Linked DNA regions of Diceros bicornis minor. The protein of the gene in region 2 purifies or fractionates together with the protein of the main gene of each other region. This does not show direct contact. Links are inferred from orthologs where the notes say so. Each region holds a gene or a part of one and is shown on either strand. Other genes may lie near its edges.

Region 1 (7,899 bases), on a different chromosome or scaffold from region 2:
AATTCCCTGACCTCTTTTTAAATATACAATGGCGAAACACAGAGTGATACTTTACATATGTTTTTAAATGAAAAACTTGAACTTTTTATTAAGATTTAAGCATACAACAAAGTTTAGAAAAAAAATATATAATGATCAAGTACCCACCACTTGGCTGTGTCAAATCTTAATCTTTTACCAAATCTGCTTCATGTTTATTTTAAAGACAGTAAAGTTATGGTTGAAAAACCATGGGCCTTCCTAGATCCTTTACCCCTCTCCAGTTCTCCAGAGGTAACTTCTACTCTGATTTGGTGTTTATCATTCCAATGCATGTTTTTATACTTTTGCTACATATTCCACGATTCCCAGAAAATATATTGTATAGTGTGGCATGTTTTTAAAATTATATAAGTATGATAAATAAAACTATCATATATTCTGGCTCTGTCACAAGCTGTTTGATGTTAGGCTGTTTGATGTTAATATCTCCGTGCCTCAGTTTTCCCTAGGAAAAATGGGGATAATACCAACTATTAGCTTATAGGGTTGTTGTGAGGATTAAATGAGTTAATATGCTGTATATAAACCACTTAGAACAGTATCTTGCTCACAGGAAGTAGTGTACATTACTGTTAGTAATTATCATATAAAGCTGCAGAAGGACATGTGTTTGTTTGTGTACACTGATTGAGAAAACATTAATTACCAAAATGTTATATATATATATATATAATTCATATAAATGCCAGATATTTTCAAAATTGCAGAAAAACTAGAAATATTTATGAAGTTCAGGCTGGAAAGGATCACTAGCTTACTTGAAGAGGAACTGAAAGTTCTAAGCATAGAGGAAAGTCTATTTTTAAACTTACGAATTGTAGGTAACATTAAATTAGAATATAAACATTTGACTTAAATAATTTTCGACTGTTTAAAAATACCTAAATACTTAATGGCCTCCTTTTATGAGCTCTGGGGGATAGGGCTGGGAGAGAAGGGGTAATCCCTCAATGACATACTATTTAGACTGTTAAGAGAGGCATTTTAGATTCCACACAAAATAAAACATTACTTGATATTCAAATTTCACTACTTTTCTGAACAAGTTTTTACATATAAGCAGAACAAATCAAAATTTAAAATGATGTTTTATAATAGGATTCATCTACATCATAAGATTTTCATAAAGACAACTGGATTCTGCAAAATTTATCGATGCAATTATCCACACATTATCTTTGTTTTAATATTGGGTTATTTTTATAATAGTCTCTAGGTCAAAAGATCAGAAAACATCAAAACTTAAATGCCCTACATATTACGTGAATTCTAGTAAATTTCTTTCCAGAGTTTTTTAAAGATTTAAAAATATATCTACGCTCTGACGATCAATTAATATATCTGATTGATACATAAAACAGGAATTCGATCTAAGGAGCATTTACTAGGTGCCACTTACCGGGCTTGATGTTTTACACAGGATCTGTCTTTTAATTCATGTGAGATATCTTCATGGACAAAATTTAGAAGACTACCATAGATATTTTGTTTAAACACATATATTTCTGCAAAGAGTTAAAAATGACTACTACAAAAACCAACATTTAAGCCGGCAAAGCATATAAAATGTAGATGAGCTATGCAAATTATATCAACACAACAGTGTTGAAACATTTGCTTCCCCTAGAGTTTAGCATATATTTCTACGTCTAAAAGGTTAACTGAAAGCAACAATTAAACATAACATCAAGGATTAAACTCTCTCCCCCTCCCACCCTCCAAAAAAACAAAAACTCTGAGTACGAGAACGTAGCCAGTGAAAAGGACGATTAACGTTCAAAAGTAAAGTTTTACTTTTCTTCTCCTCAAGTGAGAACTTTGAAACGAAACCACTGCTTTTGTTTCATTTACACCCACCTCCTGCCCCTAGTAAAATATTTACGTGTATGAGTTAGTCCTTTCCTCGACCCCAATAGAAGATTCAGTGGGAAACCAAGCTATAACTTGTATTAACCAACAAGAGAAATACCTAGCCATTCTCAGTACTTTCCTAATAATGGAGAAAGGACCCACCACCGTTCACCCTATACTCTGTCCCCTGCCCAAGCAAGACGCAGACCTGCCAAACTGGGCGCTTAAAGAATAATGGTCCAACTTTTCGAAGACAATCTGGGGAGGAGACGCAGATTATTTCTTGAGGAGTGCAAGAACGGAGCAGAAAAGGTCCTCTCAGCAAGAGATGCATGAGCTTTCGGGCTGTCTCCTCTGCCTGCCTGGAGCATTAAAAATCCGCTTGCTTCAGAGACCCTCGGAAGCAGCACACTCCGATAGCGGCCGGCCTCGGGCCTGGGCGAAGCAGGCAGTGTTTACACCTGTCACGAGGGAGGAGGAGGAAGAAACAGGAAGCCCGAGCAAAGCCCCAAACTTCTCAACAGCTCCCGGGAGGGAGCGGCCGGCGCGGACCTGTAGGCAGGTGGAAGCGGAGGGGCAGGGCGAGCCGGCGGCGACCGGGGAGGTGGGAACGGCTCACACTTCCCGGCCGGTGCCCGGGATGGCGAGGAGGGGGCCGAGCGCCGCCGCCGCCGGCGTCCCCGCACCCGCCGCGGAAGAGGGCAGAGCCCAACTCGCAGCCCGCAGGCCCGCAGAGCCGGCACCGTCCTCAAAGCCCCCTCTCCGCAGCTGGCAGGTGCCCCCAGCCCGGGCGAGCGTCCAGCCGGTGGGCCGCGCCGGGTCCCTGTACCCTCTTCCCCCGGCGCGGCTTGGGGAGCGGAGCGGTGGCGCTCACCTGGCTCGTCCGGGGCGGCAGCGATGGGCATGGCTCAGGGGCCCGGGGAGGAACTGGCTCCCCGGGGAAGGACCGGCTAGTCCGACGCGGAGCTGGTGAGAGCGGAAGGCAGGCTGCTCACAGCCCTGTCAGCGAAGCAGCACCATGGACGCCCACCCGGAGTTTCAGCGCTGCCGCGGGACCCCCGTTCCATTACCCTCCGCCCTCTTCCGCCGCCTCCACATCCTCCTCCGCGGAGACCCCCCGCCCACTCCACACACTCTCCCATCATGCAGCGGGGGACCGCTGCCGCCGACACGTCACTTCCGGGCGCAGGTGGGTAGGTCGGGGCCGGGCGCTGCTGGGTGCTGGGGGGTGGGGGGAGGACACTCCAGGGGAATTAGTGTCACAGAACGCTTACCCCTGCGCAGGCGCTGTCGCGCAGAGCGCCGGCCGCCATTTTGGGTGCGGGCAAGCTGTCCTTTTCCTTTACTTCCTTGCCAGTCATGGAGCTGTGGGAGGGAAAGACGTCCTTAGGCACTTCGTCGCCCGGTGAGGCGGCGCTCCCTGCGAGGGCAGGTGCTCCTCAGTCGGTTAACGTTAACGTTCAGCTTGGGACCGAGAGGTCCCTTGGTCTCCAAATAAAATTGCAAAGGTTTTGAAATACAGAACCATATCTTCTCCACCAAAACCTACTGGAGAACAGTTAGCAGCTTGCCCTTTTCGCCCCGAAAAAGGACTTTTTCATTCACAGTCTTTTAAGTCCGTTTCTCTTTTTAATTTAAGCTGACAGAAGGGGAAACTGATATTTAACAAATAACAAAGAAGAGGTTATTATAAATCAAACTTAAGATGGGAAGCAAGAGGGCAAACAGCCGCCGAACTGACAAATCGTCTTCGAGGCTAACAAAAAAATTAAAAAATAATAGTAATTGGGGATTTTGCTAACGGATGGAGACAGTGGTCGTGTTTCATAGATGCTGCGGGAGAAGAGCCAGTGAAAAGAAATCAAGTCAACTTCTGCATTTCTCTAAGAGTTCCTAACATTCTTTTTCTATCATCAGTCCTGAGCAGTTGATCGTTTGCGTTTTTATAAGCTTTCCGCATCCTTTATCATGAATATCTGTTAGAACACCGGCCACTGTAAAAATTAGTCTACAAGGATTATTGTTATCATCCGGGATGATAAGTCCTACCCTATAAATCATGAGCCCTGACGGGTGCTGCTTCTGCTCACTTTTACCAAACCCGCACCGGTAATTTGAATATTTTAAAATAGTTCCCAAACAGCAAAGCTCAGCAGCTACGCAAAGAAACCTGGATGAAAAACACCCCCTCAGCCACAAAGAAGTGTCCACCCCTTTGAGTGGAGGAATTAAACGAATCAGGGGAAAGATAAGGACAAAAGCAGTTCATCACGGTTTATCCCGCCTCTGCAATGGTCTCGACAAATTAACTTGGAGCACTAAAATAGACCCGCATTAGTCTCTTTACAACTCGATCGCTGTAAGATATACGGAGACTGCATCACTTTAAATTGGAGTACCTATTGCTTTGTGGTGGTGCTGAATTTTTTGTTATTGCTCGGTCGCTAAAGCGGGAAAAATCTATACGGCTTGTCAAATTTACTCTTATTGTATTTCGCCCCCTGCTGGTTTAGCCCGCGTGCAAGCTTTAATATATATATATGTCACTGTAAATGTTTATTGACCAGGAAGGAAAGAAACAAAAATATTTGTGTGTGTGTGCGGAGAAACTGGAAATGAATTGAATTTAGATGAATACATGCTTGTTTTAATTTGATAGCTCTACTAAACAGAAATATCGGAGTAAGAACACATGTCAAAATCCTAAAGCAGACCCTACACTAAGAAAAGGTTTAAACTGAAATAATGAATGTAAACATCAAAACATTGAAAAGAACCCTGCTTTTGGAAAAATTTCTTCCTGATTTCATACATAACGTGATTTTTGTCAGGTAAAAGCAGAAGCCAATTCTATTCACTTAAGAACAATTCAGAAATCAGCATCCAACTTTGTGCCTGGAAATTGAGTAGCTATTTGGCCAGATGACTTGTGAGTGCAATCAACCAACTTGTAATTGGTAATTTCACACATAATTCTGAAGACCACATTCCAATGCCTACAAAATTGTATTACCAAATGAAAGTTTTTATCTTTGAATATTTTTAAGGTGATGAATCTGTGGGAAATATACTTATTAAAATTTATTGCATTTGGATTCAAGGATAGTATTGCTTTTGTTTACTTTTTAAAAATTATGACCATCACTACATTACCTAAGATTTTGCATCAAGAAAAGAAAAAAAATAAATGACTAGTTATAATCTGTTGTATTTACTTCTAGTTTTTTCTCTGTGCAGACTTTTTACAAAGTTGTAATCATAATGTAAGTTGATTTTGTATCCCTTTTTTCATTTAATATTATGTTGTAACCATTTCCTTCTATCACTTAACATTTTATAAAACCTTAATTTTAATTGCCTACATAGTAGTCAATGGAATGGACATACTGTGATTTATCCATTATCCTATTAGTGGATATTTTCCACTATTACAAATAACACTTTGATGAACATTTTGTGCATGTAGCTTTGTCCAATATTAGGAAATTTTTCTCTATATAAAAATGATTGAGGGCCAGCCCTGTGGCTTAGCGGTTAAGTGCGCACGCTCCGCTGCTGGCGGCCCGGGTTCGGATCCCGGGCGTGCACTGACGCACCGCTTCTCCGGCCAGGCTGAGGCCGCGTCCCACATACCGCAACTAGAAGGATGTGCAGCTATGACATACAACTATCTACTGGGGCTTTAAGGGGAGAAAAATAAATAAACAAAATCTTTAAAAATGATTGAGCCAGAAGGCTATGAATGTTTCATTGGCACTTCATCATCTCAAATTATTTTCCAAAAGACCATACCAATTTACAATGCCACCAGTAAAATAGGGGTGTACCAATTTTACCACCTCCTTGCCAGCAGTGGACAATAATTAAAAGAAACTTGGATTGAACTTTATCGACTAAAAGTTGAAATGAACTTAACTCATATTATATTGTTTAAGAAAGCAACAAACAAGCAAGCACAAAATCCCAGCAATGTAGTATTCTGGAAAAGCAATATACATAGACCTGGTTCCACAAACAGGCCCTATTATCCCTATGATTTTGCATAAATTATTTAACCTCTCTGGACCTCAGTCTTTTTATATGTCAAATGAGAGAGTGGAACTACACCATAGGTTCTCAACTCTCTTAGGACAAGTAACTATTTAGTATGTGTATCTCTTGGAGAATATGGTCAAAGCTTTGGCCCTCTCTGCAGAAAATGCTCATCCCAAAGACACTCAAATTTCTTAGACCTCCTAAAGCTCATTCGTGGAAGAGGGTCTACGAACTATAGCTTAGGAAACCCTGCACCAGATGATCTCCAAGGTTCTTTCTGTATCTAAACATTTTCCTATGTTTTTATTTTATAACCTAGTAAACCTTTCTGGCTAAATAATACTTTTTAGTGGATAAATAAATTGTCATATATTCATAGATGGATTAGTATTCAGCACTTAAACTAGAGCTCTAGGCATCAATATGGTTAAACTATAAAAACAAAAGTGAATGAAGTTTCAGAATGAGTAAAATATGATATGAATTTTACAATGTATTTAACTTTTAAAAATAAACCAATACTTTGTTCTTCATGGATATACATTTTTATGGTAAAGTATAAAAATATGGACTGGAATGATATACACAAAATTCATTAGGGGCTAGTATGGAATGAGTCAGACAGCACTAAAGAGGACTTTATCTGTAATTGCAATGTTTTATATCTTTAAAAAAATCTGAAGTAAATATGACAAACTATTTACATTTTTTTCTTTTTTCCCAGCTTTATCAGGGTATAATTGACAAATAAACATTGTGTATATTTAAGGTGTACAACTTGATGATTTGATCAAACCATTTACATTTAATTCTAGGTGAAGGGTACATAGGTGTTTGTTATATAATTCTCTGACATGTTCTGTATTCATTTTTTTCATGGTTAAAAAATAACTTTTCCAGAACCAGTTAGTTTAAAACCGTGAAATATGAACAGCATCCTAGAGATAATTCCTGATGCTAATGCTAATATCTTAGATTTGCACAACTTTTCAAAATGCTTTTAAGTATATTATCTCTTCTGATTCTCACACAGACCCCCGTAGAGCCGATTAATACCATTTTACAGAAGATGTGATCACAGATTTTGGGATTTGTACAAGATTAAAAAGTTAGAGATGGACTTAGGACTGGAACCACAATCTCCTGATTCACAATTCTTTCCCCCTGTATCATTTGGCCTTCTAACTTTGTAGAAGAGTAATATTGTAGTCCCCCTTTTCCTCATAGGTAAAGACAATTGCCTTCATTTTATCATTTAATACACTTTGCTCGTTTTCTTCATGTTTGAATTATTTTCTAATGGAGCTTTTTTTCCTTCTCACAAAGAGTGTGGTTAATAAATGGAACAAACCTTCACTATAAAGTATTGTATATGTAGAATTTGAGCCATTGATAAATCTGCTGAAAAATTTTCAGCAACTTGAGAAATCATCTGGTCCAAAAGCAGTCTCTTCCCCACCTCCCCCTCCAACTTTACAGTAGATTAATAATGTTATAAGAGGTTAAATGACAATGACATCCTCAGTCATCCCGTTGGTTTGTAGAGAACTAGGTAGGTACTAGAAGCCAGGTTTCATGTTTCTAATCCAGAGTAACCTCCATTTTTACTCCACGTTATTTCTTGTTTGTTACAATCTTCTCTTTCCCCCAAAGCATGTAAGAAACCAAACTATTTGGGAACCCAGATGAACTTGTTTTCTATATCCTCAGCTGGCTGTGGCCATAATACAAGATGTGCTGAAAATAAACATTCATGTTAGATATAAATTACATTAATCATGTGGAATAAAAGTATAAAAAGAAACTTGTTCTATAGTAGGAATACAATCAAACTTTTTTTGTTGCTAATGTTTTTGTTTTTGGTTTGGTGGGGATTTCACCATTTTACACTTGGTGAAAGTGTGATGAGCAACAGAGATTTTGTTTCTGAATCATTCCCACTGGCCTTTCTTGGACTTGCTTGTCAAGTTT
Region 2 (7,321 bases):
ATTCATCTAAGTGAACCACTCCAAGTCAGAGTCACCACCCTGAGCAACTTGGAAGAGACCAGTTAAATATGCCAGTTCGGATCCTGAAATGAATGATCTCTATACAGCAAGCCAGGGTATTGAGCCTCCATTCTAATTTCATTGTCTTAGTGCTCAGTTTAAAACAAATCTCATAAAGTGGTTTACACATGCCTGAATATGCCTCTTTTGAAGTCATGAGCCAACAGCCTTCAACAATTTGACACCATGACTTCTCTTGGACCACTTCCCTAGCAAAAATATCCAGTGACTTCGCCCATCATTACACTGGCCAACCCAGGCAGATCACTCTTCTCTTCCGCACCTTTCAGGTAAAGAAGTCGAACTGATGAAATCAGTTATCTAAATACAACCACCAATCTCTGTGTAACCGTGTGCATTTACAAAGCAGCTGAACAGACACAATATTACACCTTCCAAGCAGTAACAAAACCTTCTACAAGGCAAGGAGGCCAGGCAGATGAGTGCCATCCCCACGGACTGATGAGTGATCCCAGGCTTTGGAGAGTGAAGTGGTCAAACATCTTTAAGCGAAAGATCTGGAACAAAAACTTCAATTTCTCAAATTGGTGCCTCTTTCCATAATATCACATTAGAGAAGAGTGTGTATACTGGGGGTGGGGGGTTGAGGTTGCAGGGGATCAATCAAGGAAGGACTAGCTGAGGAGAAGCAACACAACTTGCACTTGGACACTGGCTGCGTCTGTTCACAGAAGAAGGCCTTAGAAGATCTGACTCCTGTCTACTGGCCAGCCTCATCTCCTACTTTGCCTGGCAACCAAGAAAGGCTCTTTGCAGCTGTCATTCAGAACTACTAGCGGCATCTCAAAGTACCCCAGTCAGCTCAGCCTTTGTGCCTCTGTAGGTGCAATTTCCTCTGCCTGTCATGCTCCCCACTCATTTCTTCTTTTAGCCTGCTTCCATTCGACCTTTAAACTCAGCTCAAATGACACCTCTTTCAAGAGCTGACCTCCTTAGTGCTCTCGGAGCACTCTGGATCACCTTATATCATTGCGCCGCCCTCGCTGATTCTGTCATCTGCCTCCTTCCCTAGACTTAAGTTCTGGGGTAGGGGGTTGAGGGAGAATGGGGGCATACATAGGACGTGACTCATCTGCTCCTGGTACCCGACACATGCAGCACGCACTCAGTAAATGCCTGTGGCCTAAAAGAATGACTGTGCCAATCCAATCCCAGGAGTAGCCACGCCAGGCTCCTGGGGTAAAGAACTTCAGACGACTCAAGTGGAAACCATCACCCTCCACATTCCCTTTAGCTCCTTGGACTCCCTTGCCAGCCTGCCTCCTCCATGAGGGCACGAGAACATCACGCAAGCTCAAGGACTGTCATGGAATTATAATTCACACCAGGCTTTTATGATGCTTTTCTGTTTTTGCTTTATTTTAACTGGAGAACCTTTGGTTCTTTACGCATCTGGGGTCATTTCAGATTGTTAACCTGGGAGGCAAAGCTCTGGACAGCCACAGTTCTGGAGTATTTCCCAGGGGTCAGAAAACATAATTGTTAAGAGGGTTAGCTCTGAAGTCTGAGCTCAAATGTGCCATCTGCCAACTGGGCAACTCTGGGTAAGTTACCCGATATCACGTCCTGACAGTACACCTAAACCGGGTTACTTGTAGCCAGCATTCATTCCACCAATATCTGCTGAGCACCTACTGTGGGCCCAGTGCTGGCCACACAACCTCGGGTCTAATGGCATCACATCAGCCTGTTTTCTTTCCTGTTCGGCACTGACCACCATCTGAAATATTGTTGTTTGCTGGTTTCTTTCCCCTGTTAGAAGGTAAGCGCCATGAGAGCAGGGGACTCGTCTCTCTGGTTCATTCCTTGTCTCTCCAGTGCCAAGCACATGACTACTACGCAGTTACTCAACACATCTGAAAAGAAGGAATCAAGTCAGACGACGTCCCTATTGTCTCATGAGCTTATATTGTGGGGGGGAAGACAGGGAAGAAAAAACCCATAAGAAACATGAAGGTACACATTACAAAGGGCCCTGGCTTGCCACCAACACAGTGGTGCACTAGGCTTCCTCTGGCTCCAGGTCCAGGTTGCTCTGGGGAGAAAAGGCATCTCCCGACCCTGGCAGCGCCCCCAGCGGCACAGACGTGAGCGAGGGGCATGAGGAAGGCAGAAGGCAGTCGGGCCACGTCCCATCACAACTCCAGCGGAGGCTCCTTTCCTTCATCTGTTCAACAGAAACTCGGCCCGGAACACGTGCTGGGCAGGCAGCAGAGAAAGGACGGGGTCCTGCCCTCATGGAGTTTCCCTTCTAGCGCAGAAACAGTGCACACGTGGCAGAGGCAAGGGAGCGCCGTGCTGGCCACCGCCCGGCGACGTGACAGGGGATGGACGCAGGCGTCCAGGGTGGGTGGCTGGTCAGGGCAGGCCTCTCCGAGGAGGTGACATCTGACCCAAGACAGGAAAAGGTCACCTCGTGGAGAGCAGGGAAGAAGCTTCCAGGCAAAGGGGGCGCCCACGCTTCCACTCAGGCGCGGAAAACCGCAGCCTGGACGGCCGCGGTCAGCACGGCCGAGGCGCCGAGTGTCTCGAGGGCGAGGCGGGCAGGAGGGCGGGCCCGCGCCGGGCTCGGGCCCAGCAGCGCTCCGCGGCCCGGGGCGGGCGGGCGCGCCGTCGGGGCGGGCGGGGGCCGACGTCACCGCGCGGCCGGTCCCCGGAGCGCGGGCGGGGGCGCGGGGCGGCGGCCCGGCCGCGGCCGAAGATGGCGGGCCTGCGGCTTACCTCGGAATTTGAGCTCGTGCTGCGGCTCGAGGCTCAGGACCTGCTCCACCTTCGCCATGTTCCTCGGCGGCGGGGCACCTCTGGCGGGAGACCCCCGGGAGGTCACCTGCGGCGGGCGGCGCGAAGGCTGCGCCCCCTTTAAATTTCGAGGGGGGGGCCGGCCGGGGCGCAGGCGGGGGTCGCCGACGGGTGCGCGCGGGGGGGGGGGGGGTGGCCTACGCGGTGCAGGCGCCGGGGCGGAGGGCGAAGGCGAGGCCGCGGTGCCCGGCGAGCGCACGGCACGCACGGCACGCACGCAGCGACGCACGCACGCACGCAGCAGGCCGGCCGACTCGGCCCTGCGCGCGCGTCGCCCCTCCGAGCGCAGTGCGCAGGCGCGGCACTGGCCGCGGGGGCGGGGCTGCCGGGCGGCAGGGGGCGGGGCGTCGCAAGCTCCGGGGGCGGGGCGGGTCCGGCACGCCCAGAAATCACCGCGAAGATTGCTTATTCTGGGCCTAAGGGGGACGGCCGTGGTGTGAAATGCTTTACTCAGTAGCAATGAGAAGAGTAGACTGCACTTTTCTTTCCTTATGTAGTGCCAGGCACTGTTAGAGACTTTGAATAATAATGAAAGTACTATTTATTCTCACTATGAACATAATGTTGGTGGGTGAATGATGTGTGCCGGGCACTGTGATGTATGGGAAACAATAAATATAAACAGTAAGCTACCGATTATTGCTTGCTTGTTTTGTGCCGCTCTGCTGAACGCTTTCAATAACAACAGTGGCAACTGTGATAAATAAGAGCTACTCTGCATTACATGTTTACTATATAACAAGTAGATGCAACAAATATTTAGAAATACAATAAGCAGAAAAGTTGACCTGGTTCCTACTCTCTCGCTAGATTCTGTTGGAGAGACAACCTTGGAATAAATAACCCCACAAATAAATTAGGCGATTAAAAATTGCTGGGAACCCAGATCTACTTGGCCTCAAAAGTGAACACTACATCACTGTTGCCGTTTAAATTTTATTTCAGTATATGTTTACTACATAAAATATGTGTTCTTAACAGTCTTCTTTACATATATATAGATGAAACAAACACAGCAAATAGTTAACAATGCTGACTCTACATGGGCATCCTTTGTACTATTCTTCCCACTTTTCTGCGTACTTGAAATTTTTCATAATAAAAAAGGTTTTTTTCAAGATAATCTTTGTCTTTTAACTAGAGCATTTGGTCCATTTACGCTTATTATATTTACTGATAAACACTGTATCTGGATTTATTTCTACCATATTATTTTGTGCTTTCTATTTGTCCTGCCTGTTTTTTCTTTTTCCTCTCCTTTCTTGCTTCTTTAGTGCTGATTTTTTTTCTCATTCCATTTTTCTTCCTCTTACACCATCTATTTCTGTTGTTTTAGTGATTACCCTAGAAATTTGGCATGAGTACTTATCTTATGAAAGTCCAATCTTTTAAATATCTTTACCTTGCTCCCTTAAAATATAAGTACCTTTGGATACTTTAGTCACTCATCCCCTAAATTATATGCCTTAATTGTAGTGTGTTCTAAATTTAATCTTTCCCTTTTCACCCCATGAGTCATTACTAGCTTGTTTTATGCAGTTGATGTTAGTTTACACTCAACCACACAGTTACTGATTTCTTTGCGCATCTTCTTGCATCTCAAACTTACAACTAGGATCACTTTCCTTGTGACTGTACATCCTTTGTTTTATTTTTTTATAATGTTATTTATTTATTTTTTTCCCCCAAAGCCCCAGTAGATAGTTGTATGTCATAGCTGCATGTCCTTCTAGTTGCTGTATGTGGGACGCTGAGGCCGGAGAAGCAGTGCGTCGGTGCGCGCCCAGGATCTGAAACGGCCCGCCAGCAGCGGAGCGCGTGCACTTAACCGCTAAGCCATGGGGCCGGCCCATCCTGTACATCCTTTAAATCCTATTTTGATGAGGGTTTGTTGGGGCAAACTCTCTTGCTTTTTGTTCATCTGAAAATCACTTTATTTTGCCCTTGTTCTTGAAAGATATTTTGGCGGGTTTTCCAGAGTGACAGTTACCACCCACCTGCTTCCCGCTCCCGTTGTTACTGTTGAGGTTTCTGACAACAATCTCTTCATCATTCCTTCCAAGAGAATCTGTTTTTCCCCCTGTTCTGAGGTTCTGAGTTTTACCACGATGTATCTTTTTATTTATTATCTTAGTCTGTTCAGGCTGCTATAACAAAATACCATAGGCTGGGTGGCTTAAATAACAACAGACATTTATTTCTCACAGTTCTGGAGGCTGGGAAGATTTCACGTCTGTCAAGAGTCTGCTTCCTGGTTCATAGTTAGCGTTCCCTTGCTCTCTGGGGTCTCTGTGACAAGGGCATGAATCGCATTCATTAGGGTGGAGCCGGTCTCGACATGTGAATTTTGGGGAAGATACAAACATTCAGTGTACAGCATTCATCCTACCTGAATTCTCGGGGGTTTCTGAATTTGTTGATTGGTATCTTTCATCATTCTGGAAAATCCTTAGACAACATTAAAAAAAATTTTTTAAATCGTGGTAAAATACACATAACATATAATTTACTATCTTAATCATTTTAATTGGACAGTTCAGTGATATTGAATACATTCACATTGTTGTGCAACCATCACCGCCATCCATCTCCAGAACTCTTTATCTTGCAAAACTGAAACTCTGTACCCAATAAACACTAACTCCCCACTCCCCTACCCGCCAGACCCTGGTAACCGCCATGCTACTTTCTGTCTCCATGAATCTGACTGTTCTAGGGACCTCATATAAGTAGAATCATACAGTATTTGTCCTTTTGTATCTGACTTATTTCACTGAGCATAATGTTTTCAAGGTTCATCCACGTTGGAGCATGTGTGACGATATCTCTTTTAAATGTTACCTGAGCCTTATCCTCTCACTCTTTTCTTCTGGAAGTCTGACTAGTAGTTTATTCAACCAATGTTTTTCAAACTGTACATTGTTTCTCAAGAGTGACTTATCAAGTCAATTTAATGGGTTGTTACCAGCACTGAAAAAGAAAATGAATAGAAAATATCACAGTGTATTGTATTATTTCATGAAACTTTTGTTTCAGTTATATTTATCAACATACCTATAGGTATATCTATGTAGTGAGTCACAAATGCATTGATTACTGTGGGCTGTGGTAAAGAAAGAAAGAAACAGGGAGATAGAGAAGTCTGTAAAACAAAGACTCTCTCTTAATATTCTCCATATTTCTTTACTTCTCTGTCACAGCTTAACCTCTGGTGTTTATGTCCTATATTCTGGATATTTCTTCAAACCTCTCTTCCAGTCACTAATTGTCCCTTAGGCTGCTGATAAACCTGTTTTAGGAGTTTTTCATTTCAGTTATTTTTTTTAAGTCTATAAGTTCTGTTTGGTTCTTTTGCATACCTGAGTGGTCGCACTGGCAGGTTTCTAACATTGGTTTCAGGCCCATCCTCCATCCAGGGAATGGGGCCATATTAGGGTTTTAGTGTTGGTCTCCACTGTTGTCACTTTAGGCACTTAGCAGTGGCAGTGACCAGGTCAGCTTGATGAGGGGAAGTCCGTGTTCTTGGGCCCATGTCGAACCTTCACACCTGCCGCGATGGCCACTTTGTAAATAAACCCAAAGAGCAAACAATGACACAGCTGGGAATAAAGACTGACATCCAGAGAATGTGTCACCTTGTCCACTTGATTCTCAGAGTCACTGCTGCAGTGGATGCCCTTGGGTGGGCATCGACACAGGACACCAGTGTCTTCACACTGTGCCATCCTGAGAGGCTCCACATACCTCCTCCCCACACCTCCTTCTCGCCAAATCCAGTTCTGCTGTGTCTGTTCCTGCCACCCACTGCCCACGAGTCAGCGTACACCTGTGCTTCTGACCATCTCTCAGCCAGACAAGGTAGACATCCAATGTACTGCTTGAGATTCTGGCAAATCTCTGAATTCCATTTATGTTGTAATTCTGCAACCTGCCCAATTAAATTTTGGGTATGATTTTCAGCAAGGTCAAAAACCTACAGCTATAAGAAATAAAGGATTATTGTAGGGCTCCATAGAATCTCTCTGGTTTTCTGACTGTGACTTAAACTGAGAGATTAAAGAGCGTGTCATTTTCTTTCCGTAATAGCTCCGGTGAACTCAGACCCAGCTCCCCTACCCCACAGTCCTGTTGTCACTACCACGTAAGTGTAGCAGCCGCGTGGCTCTCCAAGGCCCTTGCTTCTCAGGCGCTATGTCACATCAAATGCAGGTGAGAGTGTAATTAGCAAGTGGCATGCTTATTATATATTACTTGTAGATTACTTGTAACCCGTGGTGTATGCTAAACTGGCTCTCTGGGGTAAAAATAACTCTGATTTGTAGTTTTTGCAGATTTCTGTGGTGCCAACACTCCCTCCATGACTGATTTTAAGTGACCTGTGGGATGTCACTGGACACAGAGTTGAAAAGAGACGTGCACCATTGGCACTGGCAGGCTGGTG

The links. The genes of interacting proteins can lie anywhere in the genome.
Region 1: the proteins of VAPB (region 2) and AFTPH purify together in Homo sapiens (affinity purification with mass spectrometry; 3 studies listed by BioGRID and IntAct, counting the BioPlex papers as one, with this or other methods). This does not show direct contact. The link is inferred for Diceros bicornis minor from reciprocal best matches to the Homo sapiens genes VAPB and AFTPH.

The regions. Positions count from the first base shown.
Region 1 is NC_080751.1:23,171,828-23,179,726, forward strand, and holds the start of AFTPH (aftiphilin), read right to left. Parts: upstream 3,016-7,899; 5' UTR 2,768-3,015; intron 1-2,767. UniProt on the Homo sapiens protein: Component of clathrin-coated vesicles.
Region 2 is NC_080758.1:5,266,729-5,274,049, forward strand, and holds the start of VAPB (vesicle-associated membrane protein-associated protein B/C), read right to left. Parts: upstream 3,008-7,321; 5' UTR 2,861-3,007; coding exon 2,803-2,860; intron 1-2,802. UniProt on the Homo sapiens protein: Endoplasmic reticulum (ER)-anchored protein that mediates the formation of contact sites between the ER and endosomes via interaction with FFAT motif-containing proteins such as STARD3 or WDR44.